4 linked regions of the Callithrix jacchus genome follow. The protein of the gene in region 4 interacts with the protein of the main gene of each other region in a pairwise test. Links are inferred from orthologs where the notes say so. Each region holds a gene or a part of one and is shown on either strand. Other genes may lie near its edges.

Region 1 (3,766 bases), on a different chromosome or scaffold from region 4:
TGTGTATATATGCATGTGAGTGTGTGTATATATGCATATGAGTGTGTGTGTGTACGTCTGTGAGAGTGTATATGTGTGTGTGGCTCCCTTAGGACGGTGCCCAGGGAGATGGGTCAGTGTTCCTGGGTGTGTTGCCCCGGTGGCCTGTGTCTGAGCCCTGCCCCCTACGGCTCTCTCTGCAGGTTCTCCCATGGGCAGCTGGTCTCTGTGGATGAGCTGCGCCCCTTCCAGGACCCAGACCTGAGCTCCCTGCAGGCTGGCTCTGCGTGTCTAGCCAAGCACCAGGATGGCCTCTGGCACGCAGCTCGCATCACCGGTGAGGCTGGCCGTGGAGGCCTCCCAGCAACACCCTCCCATGCGTCACATGTGTTACTACTGGGTGGCTACTCCCTGCCCCCTTTGTGTTGAGTGTCAGGACTCTGGCTCTGTGCCAGCAATGAGCACATCTGCCCTCAGCCTCTGCCCTGCCTTGTTCCCAATGTCCCGCATGGCTCCTGAGCAGTGGCACCTGCTGTTGTCAGGGATGCTGACCTGCAGTTTGTCTCTGCCCCCAGATGTGGACAGTGGCTACTACACAGTCAAGTTTGACTCGCTGCTGCTGAGGGAGGCCGTGGTTGAGGGGGACAGTGTCCTTCCCCCGCTGCGCACAGAGGCCACAGAGTCCTCCGACTCAGACAGCGATGGCACGGGCGACTCCAGCTATGCCAGAGGTATGGCAGCAGCTGAAGGGCCCAAGAGGCAGGAAGGTGGGGTCACCAACCACTGCAGAGTGTGGACTACAGCGAGGCTGCTGTGCTCAGCACAGGTGGCAGCTGTGCCTGGGGAGGCAGTGTGGGGTCAGGGTGCAGGAGCATGAGTGAAGGCCGGGGTAGATCCATTGTGACCTTTGACTTGAAGGAGTGTGAGGGTGCAACAGCTACAGCCTCACTGATGGGAGGCCGTGGCCGTGGGAGGAGGGGCCTAGAGTTCCCAAGGAAGTTACAGAAATGACCAACTGCTGGGGCCTGGAGTGCAAGAGGGACAGCTTCTTTGAAAGGCTTCTCAGACTTGGGACCTGGGTACCCGGTGGAGCCTAGCAGACAGAGGTTGTGTCTGGGCAGCTAGAGTGGAAGTTTCGGGACTGGGAACTGGTGGGCAGTGTCCAGCTCTCCAGAGTGGTCAATTAGACAGGGAGGTGTACCCAGGGATCAGTGATGTGAGTTGGTGACTTCTGAAGCCCCATGTTCCCATTGAAGGAGGAGTTGACCGAGGACTCTGAGGGCAGGTAGGAGCTCATGGCCCCGCAAAGGCGGAGAAGGGCAGGGGCAGGAGAGGGCTGTAAAGGAAGGGCCACGGTGCACCAGGCCATGGGGACTGCCACGAACTCTGCCTGGTGTCACATGCCCACAGCAGACCTCGGTGACAGAGTGCAGAGCCCAAGAGGTGGGGTGTTGGGGCTCTGCCCAGGAGCTAAGCTCATGGGCCAGAGCCCCAGTCACGATGCACAGTCCTCTGGCCTGGCCCAGCCACTGCCCTCTGTCCCATCTTTTGCAGTGGTGGGGTCAGACACTGTGGACTCCGGGACCTGCAGCTCTGCTTTTGCTGGCTGGGAGGTACACACGCGAGGCATAGGCTCCAGACTCCTCGCCAAGATGGGCTATGAGTTTGGCAAGGGTGAGTGCCCGCTTTCCTTGAGAGGTGGGGGTTGGCTGCAGCACAGCTGGGGTCCCACAGCACACAGCAATACCATCCCCTCAGGTTTGGGCCGACACGCCGAAGGCCGGGTGGAGCCCATCCACGCCGTGGTGCTGCCTCGAGGGAAGTCGCTGGACCAGTGTGCAGAGATCCTGCAGAAGCGGACCAGGGTTGGCAAGGCTGGCACCAAGCCCCCCAGATGCCGCAGAAGAGGGGCCAGGGCTGGGGGCCGCCTACCCCCGCGGAACGTGTTTGACTTCCTCAATGAAAAGCTGCAAGGCCAGGCTCCTGGGGCCCTGGAGGCTGGGGTGGCCCCCTCAGGGAGAAGGAGCAAGGATATGTACCGTGCCAGCAAGAGCACCAAGCGGGCCCTGAGCCTGCGGCTCTTCCAGACCGAGGAGAAGATCGAGCGAACCCAGCGGGACATCAGGAGCATCCAGGAGGCCCTTGCCCGCAATGCTGGCCGGTATGTGTGGGGCAGAGGGCAGCCCAGGGTGGCCATGCCTCCAGTACACGTGCGGGAGGTCACCTGACCCAGGTGTGGTGGGCGGAGTCCAGGAGGGGTCTGGATGTTGGAGGACGTGTGGTGGGCACGGCAGCCTGGGATTGGTGGCAGTGGCCCAGGAGCCACACTGACTGGTGGGCCCCTCCCCAGGCATAGCGTTGCGTCAGCCCAGCTGCAGGAGAAGCTGGCGGGAGCCCAGCGGCAGCTGGGGCAGCTCCGGGCTCAGGAAGCGGGCCTGCAGCAGGAGCAGAGGAAGGCAGACACCCACAAGAAGATGACTGAGTTCTAGAGACCCACAAGCACTATGGGGAAGGTGGACCCAGCGCGGGCTGCCCTCCGCACTGGAAAACCCATGTTGCCCAAGGAGGACTGGCCTGCTGGCCTGGGGCATGCAGACGCTGCTGAGTGGAGACAGGGCTGCAGGGCCCCATCTGGACAATTACCTGCCTGTCTGCCAGTGTCTTGGGCATTTCCTTGGCAAGGACATTAAAGAGTTTTCCATCACAGTGTCATTCAGTGGAGATCAGCTGGCTGCAGGGCCTCTGGGAAGAGAAGGGTCTGTGCGGGGCTGTGGTGAGAGGCTGACTGGGCTGCAGGGGCCTAGGAGGCCAGCGTTCTCTCTTCTCTGACCAAGGCGGATCAGAGGCCAGGTTGCCTGCCAGGCACAGATGGGCAGAGCTGCCTGACACCCACAGATGGGTGGAGCTCAGTGCTGCTCCAGCAGGCGAGGGTGGGAGGACTGTGGCCCACCATGTGGGGCTCTTGGTGAGGCAGGTGGACCTGGTCTGTGGGTTCTGTGCCAGCTCTACTCACCTCTCCATGTGTGGAGGGGTTGTGAGTTAGGCTCTCAACAGTGCAGGCTAGAGGCACACACGTTTCCTCTAGGCCTCGGGTAGGGTGCAACAGGTGGGTGAGGCTGCGGTGGTGGCTGCTGCCCAGGGTGGGAGGCTGCAGGGGAGGCGCTCGGAGACGTACAGGAAGTGATGAGATGGGGCGTTCAGCTGAAGGCTGCACAGAGACCTTCCTAGCCTACGCCAGCAGAGCTGAGGAGCTCTGGCTGTGGGTTTGGTAAGTGCTTGGGCAGGTCCCCAAGTGCCCTCCTGGGGTGCCGCTGGGGTCTGGTGGGGCTGTCCTTGGGATGTGGCTGTGGTTGGGTCAGTCAGCTGGGCTGAAGCCCACTGCCTGGGTCTGGGCAGACTGGCCTTAAACTCCAGAGACCACCCTCACCTCCCAGAAGCTCTGCCAAGCCCCAGGAAAGGCACAGATCCTTTGGCAGAGACAGTGGCAGACAAGAAGAGCCAGAGAGAAGTGGGGTGGGGGCACTCAGCAACCCCAGTAGCTGCTGCTGCCTGCTGACCCAGCCTCCAGCCCCTCCGGAGAAGCGTGCAGGTGCACACTGATGGGAGGCCGTGGCCGTGGGAGGAGGGGCCTAGAGTTGCCAAGGAAGTCACAGAAATGACCAACTGATGGGGCCTGGAGTGCAAGAGGGACAGCTTTGAATGGCTTCTCAGACTTGATCCAGCAGGGTCCCTCCTGCTGACCAGTCTCCAGCCCCACCTGGTTCTGGGCTCCAGTGGCCTGGAGGAG
Region 2 (4,129 bases), on a different chromosome or scaffold from region 4:
TGGAGGAGAAGGAGATGTTGGAGCTGCAGTGTCGGGCCCTGCGCAAGGACTGCAAGGTGTACAAGGACCGCATCGAGGCCATCCTGTTGCAGATGGAGGAGGTCGCTGTCGAGCGGGACCAGGTGGGTGCTCACGGTGGGGGCTGGGGAACAGAGTGCCCCATTCGAGGTGGGTGCACCAGGGCCACAGGCCTTGAGGGCAGTTGTCAGAGGGTTTTTAATCTTTATTTTGTTATTTTTGAGATGGGGTCTCGCTATGTCACCCAGGCTGGCCTCAAACTACTGGCCTCAAGCAAATCCTCTGGCCTCAGCTTCCCAAAGCGCTGGGATTGCAGGTTAAGCCAACACACTGACCTGTTTTTTAAGTAACAGAAGGAATATCTAACACTAAAAAAAAAGTAAACTGATGAAGTCAATACTCCCTCATCCCAGCCTGCTGTCAGGGGAAACTTCTACCATCCCGCTCCATCTTAACAGATATTCCCCTCCCCTCCCCCCCTTCCCCTCCCTGCCATCTTCTTCCTTCCTTTCTCTTTCTTTTTTCTTTTCTGCTTTCTTTTTTTTTTTCTTTTTTGAGCCAGAGTTTCGCTCTTGTCACCCAGGCTGGAGTGCAATGGCGCAATCTTGGCTCGCCGCAACCTCTGCCTTCTGGGTTCAGGCAATTCTCCTGCCTCAGCCTCCTGAGTAGCTGGGATTACAGGCACGCCACACCATGCCCAGCTAATTTTTGTATTTTTAGTAGAGACGGGGTTTCACCATGTTAACCAGGATGGTCTCGATCTCTTGACCTCGTGATCCACCCGTCTCAGCCTCCCAAAGTGCTGGGATTACAGGCTTGAGCCACCACGCCCGGCCTCTTTTTTGCTTTCTTCCCTTCCTCCCTTCCTCCCTCTTTCTTTCTTTTTTTCCCCTTTAACATGGATCATAGGAAAGAACCTTTTTTTTTTTTTTTTTGCTTTTGTTTTATGAAAATGGAAGCCTTCTGTCTTGTTTTACCAGTAGCTTTTTTTTTTTTTTTTTTTACTTTTAATTTGTCTTACCAGTAGCTTTTTTTAATCTTGAAAAACAATCTTGGCTGGATGGGGTGGCTCAACCCTGTAATCCCAACAGTCTGGAAGGGCGAGGTGGGTAGATCACTTGAGGTCAGGAGTTTGAGACCAGCCTGGCCAGCATGGTGAAACGCTTTCTCTACTAAAAATACAAAAATTAGCCAGGCATATTGGTGGGCACCTGTAATCCCAGCTACTCAAAAGACTGAGGCAGGAGAATCACTTGAATCCAGGAGGCGGTGGTTGCAGTGAGCTGAGATCGTGCCACTGCACTCCAGCCTGGGTGACAGAGTGAGGCTCCATCTAAAAAAAAAAAAAAAATTTGACATGGTGGCCCACGCCTGTGGCCCCAGATATTTGAGAGGCTGAGGCGGCAGCAAGGACAGGGCTGTGTCTGCTTCCCAGGTCCCGTCCCAAGTCCCATTCTGAGGTTGTTTCTGATGGACACCATTGCTGCTTCAGCGAATGCTGGACTGTGGTTTGCCTGAATCAGGAGCCTTAAAACGAGACCCCTGGGGCCATAAAGGAAGCCCCTGCCCCCGAGAGAGAAGCTCAGGCTTGGAGCTCCTGTAGGGGCCCCACCACAGCCTCACTCACACCTAGCCCACCCCAAGTTGGAGAAGAAAGGGCAGGTTCAGCTGTGCTGCGTGGGGGTTGGGGCTGCTCCCGAGACAGGACCTCCCTTGGGGCTGTGCAGGGAGGGGGAGTGGGCAGGGATTAGGGAAGCTGAGTGGGCAGGCGTTAGGTGAGGCCCTCTCAGCCTCTGCTGCGTGGGTGGTCAGGCCGTCTTCTGTCTGCATGTTTGCTCCTGTGCCTCAGCGTCTGCGGCAGGGACAGGGATGGTAAAGCATGCTGCGTTCATGAAGGAGTTTTAGCTATGGAGGGTCAGGTTCTCCATATCAAGCTGCATCCAAAATTCATCCCGTGTGCATGTGTAGGGGTGCATAGCACACGCTGTGTCCACCGGGGGTGCAGGCATGGGAGGAGACAGAGGAGGGCTGCAGGGCCTATTCTGAGGGTGAGCCTTCCTTATATTGTTTTAAGTGTCACCTTTACAATCCCTCAAATGCTGGCTTCATGTCCGCAGAGCACAAAAAGGGAGGGACTGGGGCTGGCCACTGCAGCCAGCGGCTGGATGTCCTCGGGGCCTGTGCTGGGAGTTGGGTGGTCAGGCTAAGGACCCAGGGTGAGCTTGGGGCCTCACTGAGGGTTGGTCTTGCACTGTCCTGTCAGGCCATCGCCACACGGGAGGAGCTGCACACCCTGCACGCCCGGGGCCTTCAGGAGAAGGACGTGCTGCGCAAGCACGTGCGGGAGCTGGGCGAGAAGGCTGATGAGCTGCAGCTGCAGCTGTTCCAGCGTGAGGCGCAGCTCCTGGCCGTGGAGGGCAGGCTCAGGCGGCAGCAGCTGGAGATGCTCGTCCTGGTGGGCCTGGTGCATGGGGCAGGGAGGGGAGCTGAGGGGGTACAGGGCTCGGGGAGCATGGAGCCTCAGGATACCCTGGCCCTGGCCTTCCTTACCCAATCCTCCTCTGTGATGGGCCCCAACCTAACGGAGCCCCTCCTCGAAGGGGGGTGAGGGCAGAGGGGCAGATTGGGGCCCCAGTAGGAAGTGGGCTGCAGGGCTGGGGTGGGGCCTGGGCCTGGCCATCAGGTAGCCTAGCAGGTGGTTCTGTTCATGGAGGGGGTTGTTGTGGCTGAGGGCATGCCCAGGGCCCCCCGGAGGATCCCACTCTTGTTCCCTGTCCACTCCATGTCTGGGGAGCCCTAGGCCCTCACAGCCTGCCTACTCACCCCATTTTCTATGACCGCAGAGCTCCGACCTGGAGGATGGCTCACCTAGGAGCTCCCAGGAGGTGAGTGAGACCCCAGCCAGCATAGGGCTGCCCCTCCTTCACCTGAGCTGCCACCAGGCATAACCCCACACTTCCCGTCACATGGTCCTCCTTGGTGGCCAGGCTGGGTGGAGGAAGAGCAAGCAGCCACACACTAAGGCCTCCGACAGCTCAAAGGGTAAGGACAGTGCCCACCTCCTGGCACCCTCATGGCAGGACCTTCCTGGCTGGGTGCCTGAGTCGCTGAGAAGCTCTGTGCAGGGGGTGACAGCGATGGCCAAGAGCTGGGGTGGGCAGTGTGGCCAGGTCCAGTCCCTGGCAGAGGGGCCTAACAGGACATCTCGCTTCTCTTCCGAAGCTCTCGCTCCCCCAGGACCTGGAGGAGGACACCCAGCTCTCAGACAAAGGTGAGGAGGTGATGGCTGTGCACCCGGAGGCCTCCCAGCTGCCCCAAGCGAGGCCCATCTTCAGTGCAGGCAGCCGTGCGTGACACACGCCTGTCTCGGCCTCTACCACCCTCACTCCACAGATGGGGAAGCTGGGGCTGGGGGATAAGTAAAATGGACATGGCACCCAGAGAACAGACCAGAGTCCAGTTGGAACCCAGGGCCCTGGTTGGTGGGACAAGTGTTCCCTGTGGTGGGGAGTGTGGTGCCCCTTAGGGCAGCCCCCACGGTGCAGAGTCCTGCCTGCTCCAAGCTTCCTCTTGGGCAGAGAGAGGTGGCAATGAGCAAATGCCCAGGTGCACGAGGCTAGGGGTGAGAAAGAAAGTAGGGTGAGACGGGACTCCCTGGGGCTTGAGGGACAGGGCCCAATGAAGGGGTGGCCAAGGGCCTGCTGTGTCCCGGGGCCATGGGGCGGGGCAGTGTCGGGGGCTTCTAGCGGTGGGGCAGGACCCCTCTGCCTGTCTGGAGAAGGACTGGGGTTGCTAGCTGGGAGCAGCCTGAGTGCCCAGAGTGGGCCGTGGTTATGGGGTAGGTGTTTGCTCTGAATGTGGTATCAGGCAGGGGTCGGGGAGGGCCCGGGGGAGGGGCCCTGGGAGGCTGCATGGGAGTCGGACAAGCTTCTTGAGCACCAGGCTGTGGCCTTCGAGCTGAGGCGGAAAGGGAAGATGGAGTTGCAGATGGAGAAGTGAAGACCAGCACCTTTGGCCGCAGCCCAGAACAGTTGAACGTGGGGATGCTGAGCCCCCACGTGGGCAGAGGCGAGCAGGACCCAGGAGTCCAGCTCAGGCACTACTTCCATCC
Region 3 (4,939 bases), on a different chromosome or scaffold from region 4:
TTCCTCGACCACATTACATAAAGTAAAAGGTCCAATATATATTCAACTCCCAGGGGTTATTCTCTACAGGAGTGCTGTCCAACAAAAACACAAAAAAAAGCCACAAGCAAAACACCTATCTAACTTTACATTTTCTAGTAGCCACATTTTAAAAGTTTTTTTAAAAGGTAACATTAATTTTAATAATATATTTTCTTTAATCCAATATATCCTAAGTGTTGACATTTATTCAATGTGTAATCAGCATAAAAGGTAAGATATTTTACATTATTTTCATACTAAATCTTTGAAATCCAGTGTGTATTTTACACATGCAGCAGATCTAAGTTAGAAACGAGTCACATTTTTAAGTGTTCAATAATCACACGTGCCTAAAGGCTACTATACCAAGCAGTGCAATTTTATATCATACTCTACTATATTCCCTCCTAGCACTTACCACAATCTGAACGTCTTGTTTACTTAGTATCTTGTAACTTCCCACCAGATGCTCCACAAAAGCAAGAATCTTGCCTTTTATTCAGTGTTATATACCCAGTGGATAGACTGCCTTGCACACAGTAGGTGTTCAATATATATTTGTTGAGCAACATAGTAGGTGTTAAGCAAATGAATTTTTTTCTTTTTTGAGACGGAGTCTTGCTCTGTCACCAGGCTGGAGTGCAGTGGCCTAATCTCAGCTCACTGCAATCTCCACCTCCTGGCTTCAAGTGAGATTCCCCTGCCTCAGCCTTCCGAGTAGCTGGGACTACAGGTGTGGACCACCACACCCAGCTAATTTTGTATATTTTAGTAAACACGGGGTTTCACCACATCGGCCAGGATGGTCTTGATCACCTGACCTCATGATCCACCCACCTTGGTCTCCTAAAGTCCTGGGATTACAGGCGTGAGCCACCAAGCCCAGCCTTTTCTAGCTTTAATGGGCTAGCCCTTCTAGAAATTCCAAGCAAGCATACAATCACTCATTCAACAACATGCCTAATTCCCTTTGTCTTTCACTATCAATTAAACTGTCTTTAAAAGAAAATTCTCTTGGCTCTACAGCTCTCCATTGCTTAATTGTTCTTTCCCATGATGTCTTAAGTGTCCGGGGTCAATTTCTCGTATGTTGGCTGAGGGAGTGGTGGGAAAATAACTGCTTATATTTACTGAATGTTTACTTTTTGGCAAGCATTGCCTAAGCACTTTACATTTCTCAACAGCTTCACAACAGCCCTGTGAGGCAGCTACTGTCATTTCCCCCCATTTAAGATGAGGAAACCAAGGCATAGAGAAGTTAAGTATTTTGTTCAAATTTATAGCAGCCAGTTAGTAGCAAACCAGAGACTGCCAGCAACCTAGGGGTCCAGACTCATGGCTCTTAATCACCTATTCGTGACTGCAGAGCTGTCCAACAAAAATGTAAGCTGAACTACCTACGTGATTTTGAATTTTCTAGTAAACACATTAACACGTCAAGGGGAGCAGTTAAAATTGGTTTGAAGGCCGGGCATGGTGGCTCGCGCCTGTAATCCCAGCACTTTAGGAGGCCGAGGCAAGCAGATCACCTGAGGTCAGGAGTTCAAGACCAGCCTAGCCAACATGGTGAAACCTCGTCTCTACTAAAAATACGAAACTTAGCTGGGTGTAGTGGCGCAGGCCTGCAATCCCAGCTACTCAGGAGGCTGAGGCAGGAGAAATGCCTGAACCCGGGAGGCGGGGGTTGCAGTGATTGTGCCACTGCACTAAAAAAAAAAATTGGTTTTAAGCATATTTTATTTGCTGGGTGTGGTGTGTGGTGACTCACACCTGTAATCCCAGCACTTTAGGAGGCCAAATGGGAAGATCACTTAACGCCAGGAGTTTGAGACCAGCTTGGGCAACATAGCAAGACCCTGTCTCTACAAAAAATTTAAAAATCAGCCAAACATAGTAATGCCCGCCTGCAGTCCTAGCTACTGGGAAGGATACCTTAGACCTAGGAGTTTAAGGCTACTGTGAGCAATGATTGTGCCACTGCACTCCAGCCTGGGCGACAGAGCAATATCCTGTCTCTAGATAACAATAAAATAAATTAAAAATTAAGTATATTTTATTTCACCCATTATCCAAAATATGATCATTTAATCAATATGACCAATAACCAATGTAATTAATATAATCAGTACGATCATGTAATCAATACAAAAATGTTACTTTTTCATACTAGTCTCCAACCTAAATGTAACTTTACACTTACAGTACTTCTCAATTCAGACTAGTCACATTTCAAGCATTCAACAGCCTATGTGGTAGCTACCACACTGGGCAGTGCAGCTCTATTGCCCCTCACAATGAGCCTACTGTGGAATCAAAGCGGGGGACCGGGGGGACCCTTTGGGGTGGAAGTCAAGACACCTGAGCTCAAATTCCAGCTCCTTGTTTCTGAGTGACCGGACAAATCCTTTTTGCTCTCTAGGTCCCTCACAGTTTCCCCACAAGTATCCTATGCAACGGGGGGCCCTGAGCAAGATTCCTAGAAACTCAGTTCCATTCCTAGAATTCCCAACATCTCCTCCAAATCGCAGTAAACACAAGCACAGCTTTCCACACTTTAAAACCAGCTTTCATATCCATCAGTTGGTACAGTCCTCAAACAACCCTACTAAGGCAGCTATTAGTGTCTCCACCACATAGACACAAAAACCTGTTTCAAAGAGGGGGATATGACTTGTCCAAAATCCACACAGCCAGTCAGTGGAGAAGCTGGAGCTCAAACCCAAGAGAGATCCAAGTGCGCTCCCACCATGACCACCACCATCACCTCAATGACTGGGGGGACATGAGAGCTGAGTGGACATGGCTGGGAAAACGGGATAGTCTGGGGTTTCAGAGGAGTTTCAGGGAACCAGGCCCCGGGGTGAGGAAGAGGAGGTGAGAGGCTCAGGTCTTGAGAAGGGACGAATCGAAAGGGCCCAGGAGGGCCTCGGGAGGAAAGTAAAACGAGGGGCTAGGACTCCAGGTGACTTGAGAAGTTAGGGGGCCCGGGAGCTAGGCGAAAGGAGGTGAGATGAAGGGGCTCTGGCCCCTGCGACCCTTGCCCAAGTGAGAAGGCGGTCGCTCGGCCCTCCCTGCCCCTCATACCTGGTAGCTCAGAAGTTCGCCCACGTCCATGGTACCCGACCCAGCAAATCCGGTCCCCTCCACTCACGGCCAGACCACGGGCCCGTCTGCCGCGGCTCCAGCCACACTGCCGTAAAGTGCAGCGAGCGGGGCCTCAGAGCCAATAGAGCAGAAGCGCGCGCGACAAGCGAGCAGGCCACACCGCGGTAAAAGGCCGCGCCGCCGTAAAGTGTGCTGTATTTGGAACCTGGCTGCTTCCGCCTATAACCTGAGGGGGCGGGGAAAGGGGCGGAGACTTAGAGGAGGGACTGGAGGAGAAGAGCAGAAACCGAAAGAAACCAAACTTGATTCCGCGCCCCCCGTGTCCAGAGCGGAGCGCTGGGTGCTTAGTGTGCGCTCTCCGTAGTATTTGAAGTGACTTGTCCTCATTTCACAGAAAAGGAAACTGATGCTCCCAACTGCACCATCCAATACTTTAACCCAGTAGCCACGTGTTACCGAGAGCTTGACATATGGCTACTCCAAAGTGAGATGTGCTGTAAGTGTAAATAAAATACACACCAGATTGGGTCAAATAAATATATTATAAAATGAATTTTACCTGTTTCCTTTTACTTCTTAAATGTGGTTAGTAGAAAATTTTAAATTACACATGTGGCTCTCATTTGTGGTTTCCACTAATTTCTATCAGACAGGGCTGGCTCAAAATGTGACTTGTCCCAAGGCTGTACAACTATTACTGGCTGAGAAACTGTTGGATCACATGTCCCTCTCTAGACATCTGTCTATTCATCTATGCAAAGTCTGACAGTAACTAGATGAACCTGGTGCTACCCAGGCGATATAAAAAGGTTTCTGGAGGAGAAAGTTGCCCATAATTGGAAGAGTATCATTCAAATTGTGCATCTTAATCTCCTGGGATGTAAGGCTCCATCTTCAAAGGAAATTAAACCTTTCTCCATAAGCCCTGCCCTTTATATTTATATTTATATGTTGTATTATATTTATATGCCCTTCATAGTTATAATTTTGGTCCCCATCCTAACTCCACTGTCTCCAACTATACAGAAATTATTCTTATTCCTCAAAGTGACAAATCCTCTCCCCTTCTGTCTAGCTATCAGCCCCACATCTCATCCAACTCTCTCATCTTTCCGGTCTCAAATGTCACTTTCTTAGAATGGCTTCTTCAACTCACCCTCAGTCAAAGTAAGCAAACTCTCTCCTCATTATTCTTTACTGTGTATATATCTCAATCTGTAATTTTGTGTTTAATGGTTGACTATTTGTTTCTTGACAGCCTTATTTACTAGACTGCAAGCTCCATGCAAGCAGGATGTGTGTATGTCATGTTCACTACTGTATCCTCCAAGCCTAGTACAATGCCTACTAGAGGGAGAGGTTTCATAATGGGCCTTGTGTGCCAAGGTAAAGAGATTGGATTTTGGCCAGGCGTGGCTGGGCGTGGTGGCTCACGCCTATAATCCCAGCACTTTAGGAGGCCAAGGCGGGCAGATCACTTGAGGTCAGGAGTTTGAGACCAGCCTGGCCAACGTGGTGAAACCCCATCTCTACTAAAAAATACAAAAATTAGCCAGGCATGGTTAGCCTCTAATCCTAGCTATTTGGGAAGCTGAGGCGGGAGAATCCCTTGAACCCAGGAGACAGAGGCTGTAGTGAGGTGAGATTACACCACTGTACTCCAGCCTGAGTGACAGAGCAAGACTCTATCTCAAAAAAAAAAAAAAAGAGAGAGAGAGAGATTAGATTTTATGCTAACAGCATAAGGAAAGTTTTAACAAGGTAGTTTTGTGATTTTGTTTGATCCTTATTGTTTAAAGAATCACCTATGCAA
Region 4 (4,484 bases):
CAAAAAAGACATGCATTTAAAACAACTCTGGTAGTATATGAGAAAAAACATGAGAAATGAAAAGATTCCCCTTCGAATTTTGAGTTTCCTCTGAATTTCTTTTAAATGTGCAAGAAATTGGTTGATGAATAAAATGAAATAATCTACAACTGAACTGTGGACCATCAAACCCAGCACAGAACTGGGTCCATTTGGAGCATCAGCTGTAAGCCAAACACGGACAGGGTGGGTTCCTCCACCATGGGAAGACCAAGGAGCACCAGCAAGAGGAGAGACAGTCACAGAAAAGGGTATTCACGACAGATGTGATCTGCAGAGAAGCAATGGTGCTAAGGGGAAAAAGTGCTGACTGGTCTCCTCAAATAGCAGGAACCAAACTTCCAAGTAAGAGGGCAGGAGAGCTGACTGCACCTCAAGGCAGTGACCCAGGACAGGCTGATGACCTGCCACTGGGTCCTCAGTCAAGGGGCACCCTTCCCTTCTCTGGAACCCTCAGAGCCATGGGGTGAAATCAAGTCAGAGAGCTACAGGTTGTAGCAACACATCACTTAGTCAACTCAAGAAATCCTCCTCTAAGTTTTCAAGTTCCACATGGTATAGGTCTCCAGCACTCAAACACTGCTCCACTTTACAAGTGAGAACTTAGTAAGTATGGAAGGCAGTAACAGGGTCACATCACCTAAGTGACATGTGATGAGACACTTAGCAGTGGTACCGAGACAGGTTTAAGTATGTGAGATCCAGGACATCTTCTAGGCATCTTTCCATGACCACAAGGTAGAAAACTTAAGAAACCGCTATCTGGGAATTCCAAAAATCTACGAAGAACATGGAATAGCAGCAGGACAGACTCAGGACTTAGTTCAGGGACTCTGCTTCCTCCCCAGTGACCACCATCACCCCCCCGCCAAATTCTAGCTGGACTAAAGTTAGAAATAAGACAGAGGGAGAAAGAAAATGCAGATGACTGCCAACTCTGGTATAGCCACACAAAGCCTAGGGAGAAATAAGACTATACAGCACTGATTTTTCTATTTCTTTAATACCCTGACCTTTCCACATTAGTAGCTTCAGAATTCAAAATAGTGTAGTGCAAAGGAACCCAATTTTAGGGGACACTGTCAGGGAAGAACTTCAGCTTTGATCCATTTATCTTCCATCCTTATCATCGACAGGCCTCTCTTTACCACAGACAGAAGTGGAACAGCTCACTACAGAGGCCTGGAGGAAGGGAAGAACAAACTGTCCACAGCAGCCCAGAATCAGACCTGAGAGTAAAGCACAGTCTAGCACGTGGATGTGGCTATGTCACATCCGGACCACAGATCCCTGGAAACCCAGGTGACAGCAATATCCCATTTAGCAAGAAAGATGGTCTCTCCAGTTCCCACAAGGGTGGGCAGGAGGTTGGGCTGGGAGGCAACCATGCTTTTCTTCTCACTGGATTCTAAAATAAAATTTGCAGGGGCCTGTGCTGAACCGTATGCCATATCATGATCTATGTAACACATCACAGTCCACAGACATGGGGGCAGGTGGGAGGGAAGACTTCTGGGGTAATTCATTTTCTCTCACTAGAAACACAAATGCTTCAAATAACCAGACATCACTTCACTAAAGAACAGAAGACAAGTAGGTCGCTAAGACATAATGCCCATTAGGGGTTTAGAAGGATCTTAATATCTTGCTGCAAGAAACTGAGGACTTTCTGGCCGGAACCAATGAACTGCCACACAAACAGCTTCTGCAAAGGAAGCCAAAGGAGAGCTGGGGCCTCCGAGCTAGCCCAATTCTATGTTGCTACTCATGGCAAAAAGTCACCATCACACGAAGCAACCTACCATGAGGGCTTTTATACTCTAAGTCCTCTCCTAGGACAGGTGAGGGACAAGGCCAGCCTAGGAGTCACAGCTTGTTTATACCTCTATACAGGCTCTGGGCCAAAAGTTAGTCCTAAGCAGCTTCTGGCTGTGAAGAAGCTTAAACTCTACGTTCCATCTTCATACTGAAGAAGAAAGTAGCATGTTTTGTTTTGTTTTTTTGCATAAATGTGTGCTATTTTTAGTTAGCATAAGTACATTTCTTTTCTTAAATCCAAAGGCTGTGCCTTAAAGTTACCTTAAGATTCAAACACAACTTGGCAGTCAACTAGCCTAACTGTGCATAATAACATGAAGAGATCAACTAATAAGTCTGCTCATAGGAAGTGCTGAGAGCAGACTTCCCTCCAGAATCCAGGCAGGTGATTTTTAACACTACAAAGCATGACAAATCCAAATCCACAGTACACGGGGAACACCAAGTTTGTACCACGCCAAATTTTTGCCACACTGACTTCAAACCAAAAACTATCACTTCACACACAGTAAGAATCTCAAGAAAACTCTGAGATAAATTCTTTTAATTTTTTTTTGAGATGGAGTCTTGCTCTTTCATGCAGGCTGGAGTGCAGTGGCGTACTCTCAGCTCACTGCAACCTCTACCTCTCAGGTTCAAGCGATTCTCCTGCCTCAGCCTCCCGTGTAGCTGGGACTACAGGTACTCGCCACCATGCCCGGCTAATTTTTGTATTTTGAGTACAGACACGCTTTCACCATATTGGTCAACCTCGTCTTGAACTCCTGACCTCAGGTGATCCACCAACCACGGCCCCCTAAAGTGCTGAAATTACAGCCATGAGCCACCGTGCATGGCTCATTTTGAGAAGGACAACAAAGGATGCCTGAGACACATCCCTAAGCCCCACAGGAACAAGGGGAACATGAATAGATTTTCTCTAAGAGAATAATGGACTGGTGGACCAGGGATTAGCCTTCTAGGAGTGTTTTTTTTTAAGGTTATGTTAATTAGTTTGAAAGATAGGTAAGAAAAAGTAAAATCTTTTCATTTGTGAAATGACTTCTTACAAGTAAAACTCTAATGCAGAAACAGGATGACAAACATCACCACCCACATCCTTCCGTTTTAATTATTACCATTACTTCTGGGTTAGTCTTTCCATTCAGATCACTCTGTGTAAATCCTGTAAAATCCTCAGTCTCTGAGTCAGTGTCCTCTATAAAAATTCTTCTTAGCTCTTCCGTGAAGTATTTGGAATGAAAGCGCATATCCTGCTAAATTAAACACACACATACATCAGAGGCAGAAAGCAGAATAGAGGTTACCAGGGAAGGGGAGAACGGGGAGCTACTGAACAGGTGCAGTTTCTGATGCAGATGACGAAAATGTTCTGAGATGGATGGTCAACAGTGTCAATATTAATGCCACTGAACAGTACCTTCAAAACAGCTGAAATGGTATATTTCATGTTATGCATACTTTACCACAATTAACAAAAAGAAAACAGTAGCCCGGTGTAGTGGCTCATGCCTGTAATCCCAGCACTTTGGGAGACCGAGGCAGGCAGATCACTTGAGCTCAGGAGTTCAAGACCAGCCTGAGCAACATAGTGAGATCTCATCTCTGCAAAAAATACAAAAATTAGCTGGGTCTATTGGCATGTACCTGTAGTCCCAGCTATTCAGGAGGCTAAGGTGGGAGGATTACCCACACCTGGGAGGTCGAGGCTACAGTGAGCAGAGATCACACCGTTGCCCTCCAGCCTGGGTTGCAGCTGAGATCATACCACTGTCACTCCAGGCTGGGTGACAGAGACCCTGTCTCAAAAAACCCATATACATACATGTATATTTTATATATATAAACATTTTCTAAAGCTTACAAAATTCAGACCTACAAATCAGACAGCTTTTAAAAATCAGCATGGGTGTAGTCTCAATCAGCTTCTAATGTAACTGGTAAGTGCTCATGGAATTCAGCTTCTGCCAAAGCTGGCAACCAGAAACGTCTGCTTTCACACAGAACCAAAACACATGGAAAGAAGACATGAGAAAACCTGGCTCCCTCCCACATGCTGGCTTCCCTTTCCAACAGCCTTTCAAAGCCAGAGTCTCCTCCAAGTGGGTGAGCATGCCTCCCCTTCACCAACAGCGAGTTTCCCTGTAGGAAAAGGCTGGGTCCTCTCCCAGCCCTCACTACCCACCACCAGAGCCTAGACTTGCTCCATGACCAGACACACCTGATGGAAAGCTCACCCAAGGTCACCCCCAGGAATTTCTCTTCTGCATGAGGTGAGAGGTGAGCAACCATGGCAAGCTGTCAAGTGAGCAGAAGGAAAGATGCAATGTGACTCTTTAAGAAAAGGCATTTTCTAATAATGACTTTTTCTTTCTTTTGAAATAGTGCAAAGAAGGAAACCCAGCTCTCTTAATAGTATGCTTGAAAAAAAAGAACAAACTGCAGGCCAACAGGAGACCTGCGAGACCAGCCTCCTGCCAGGCTGCCACGCCTCATCAGGGCTCGAGTCTGTCCCCAGTTTCCTTTGCCACCTCTTCCCCGCCATCCCTGATGTAGCAGTGACCCCCTTACCACCACACTTGGCTGAGAATCTGTATCTCCCCCCTGCCTTTCCTCAGCTGTAATTA

What was found.
Region 1: the proteins of CDCA7L (region 4) and ZGPAT interact in binary tests that used the Homo sapiens proteins (3 or more experiments, as listed by UniProt). The two-hybrid records come from large-scale screens. The link is inferred for Callithrix jacchus from reciprocal best matches to the Homo sapiens genes CDCA7L and ZGPAT.
Region 2: the proteins of CDCA7L (region 4) and CARD9 interact in binary tests that used the Homo sapiens proteins (3 or more experiments, as listed by UniProt). The link is inferred for Callithrix jacchus from reciprocal best matches to the Homo sapiens genes CDCA7L and CARD9.
Region 3: the proteins of CDCA7L (region 4) and CTNNBL1 interact in binary tests that used the Homo sapiens proteins (3 or more experiments, as listed by UniProt). The link is inferred for Callithrix jacchus from reciprocal best matches to the Homo sapiens genes CDCA7L and CTNNBL1.

What each region holds. Positions count from the first base shown.
Region 1 is NC_133506.1:59,225,616-59,229,381, forward strand, and holds the end of ZGPAT (zinc finger CCCH-type with G patch domain-containing protein), read left to right. Parts: intron 1-182; coding exon 183-316; intron 317-554; coding exon 555-710; intron 711-1,533; coding exon 1,534-1,653; intron 1,654-1,737; coding exon 1,738-2,140; intron 2,141-2,329; coding exon 2,330-2,468; 3' UTR 2,469-2,683; downstream 2,684-3,766. UniProt on the Homo sapiens protein: Transcription repressor that specifically binds the 5'-GGAG[GA]A[GA]A-3' consensus sequence. Represses transcription by recruiting the chromatin multiprotein complex NuRD to target promoters.
Region 2 is NC_133502.1:184,840,439-184,844,567, reverse strand, and holds part of CARD9 (caspase recruitment domain-containing protein 9), read left to right. Parts: coding exon 1-122; intron 123-2,281; coding exon 2,282-2,473; intron 2,474-2,861; coding exon 2,862-2,903; intron 2,904-3,240; coding exon 3,241-3,289; intron 3,290-4,129. UniProt on the Homo sapiens protein: Adapter protein that plays a key role in innate immune response against fungi by forming signaling complexes downstream of C-type lectin receptors.
Region 3 is NC_133506.1:33,129,972-33,134,910, reverse strand, and holds the start of CTNNBL1 (beta-catenin-like protein 1), read right to left. Parts: upstream 3,194-4,939; 5' UTR 3,136-3,193; coding exon 3,106-3,135; intron 1-3,105. UniProt on the Homo sapiens protein: Component of the PRP19-CDC5L complex that forms an integral part of the spliceosome and is required for activating pre-mRNA splicing.
Region 4 is NC_133512.1:36,238,721-36,243,204, reverse strand, and holds part of CDCA7L (cell division cycle-associated 7-like protein), read right to left. Parts: intron 3,114-4,484; coding exon 2,976-3,113; intron 1-2,975. UniProt on the Homo sapiens protein: Plays a role in transcriptional regulation as a repressor that inhibits monoamine oxidase A (MAOA) activity and gene expression by binding to the promoter.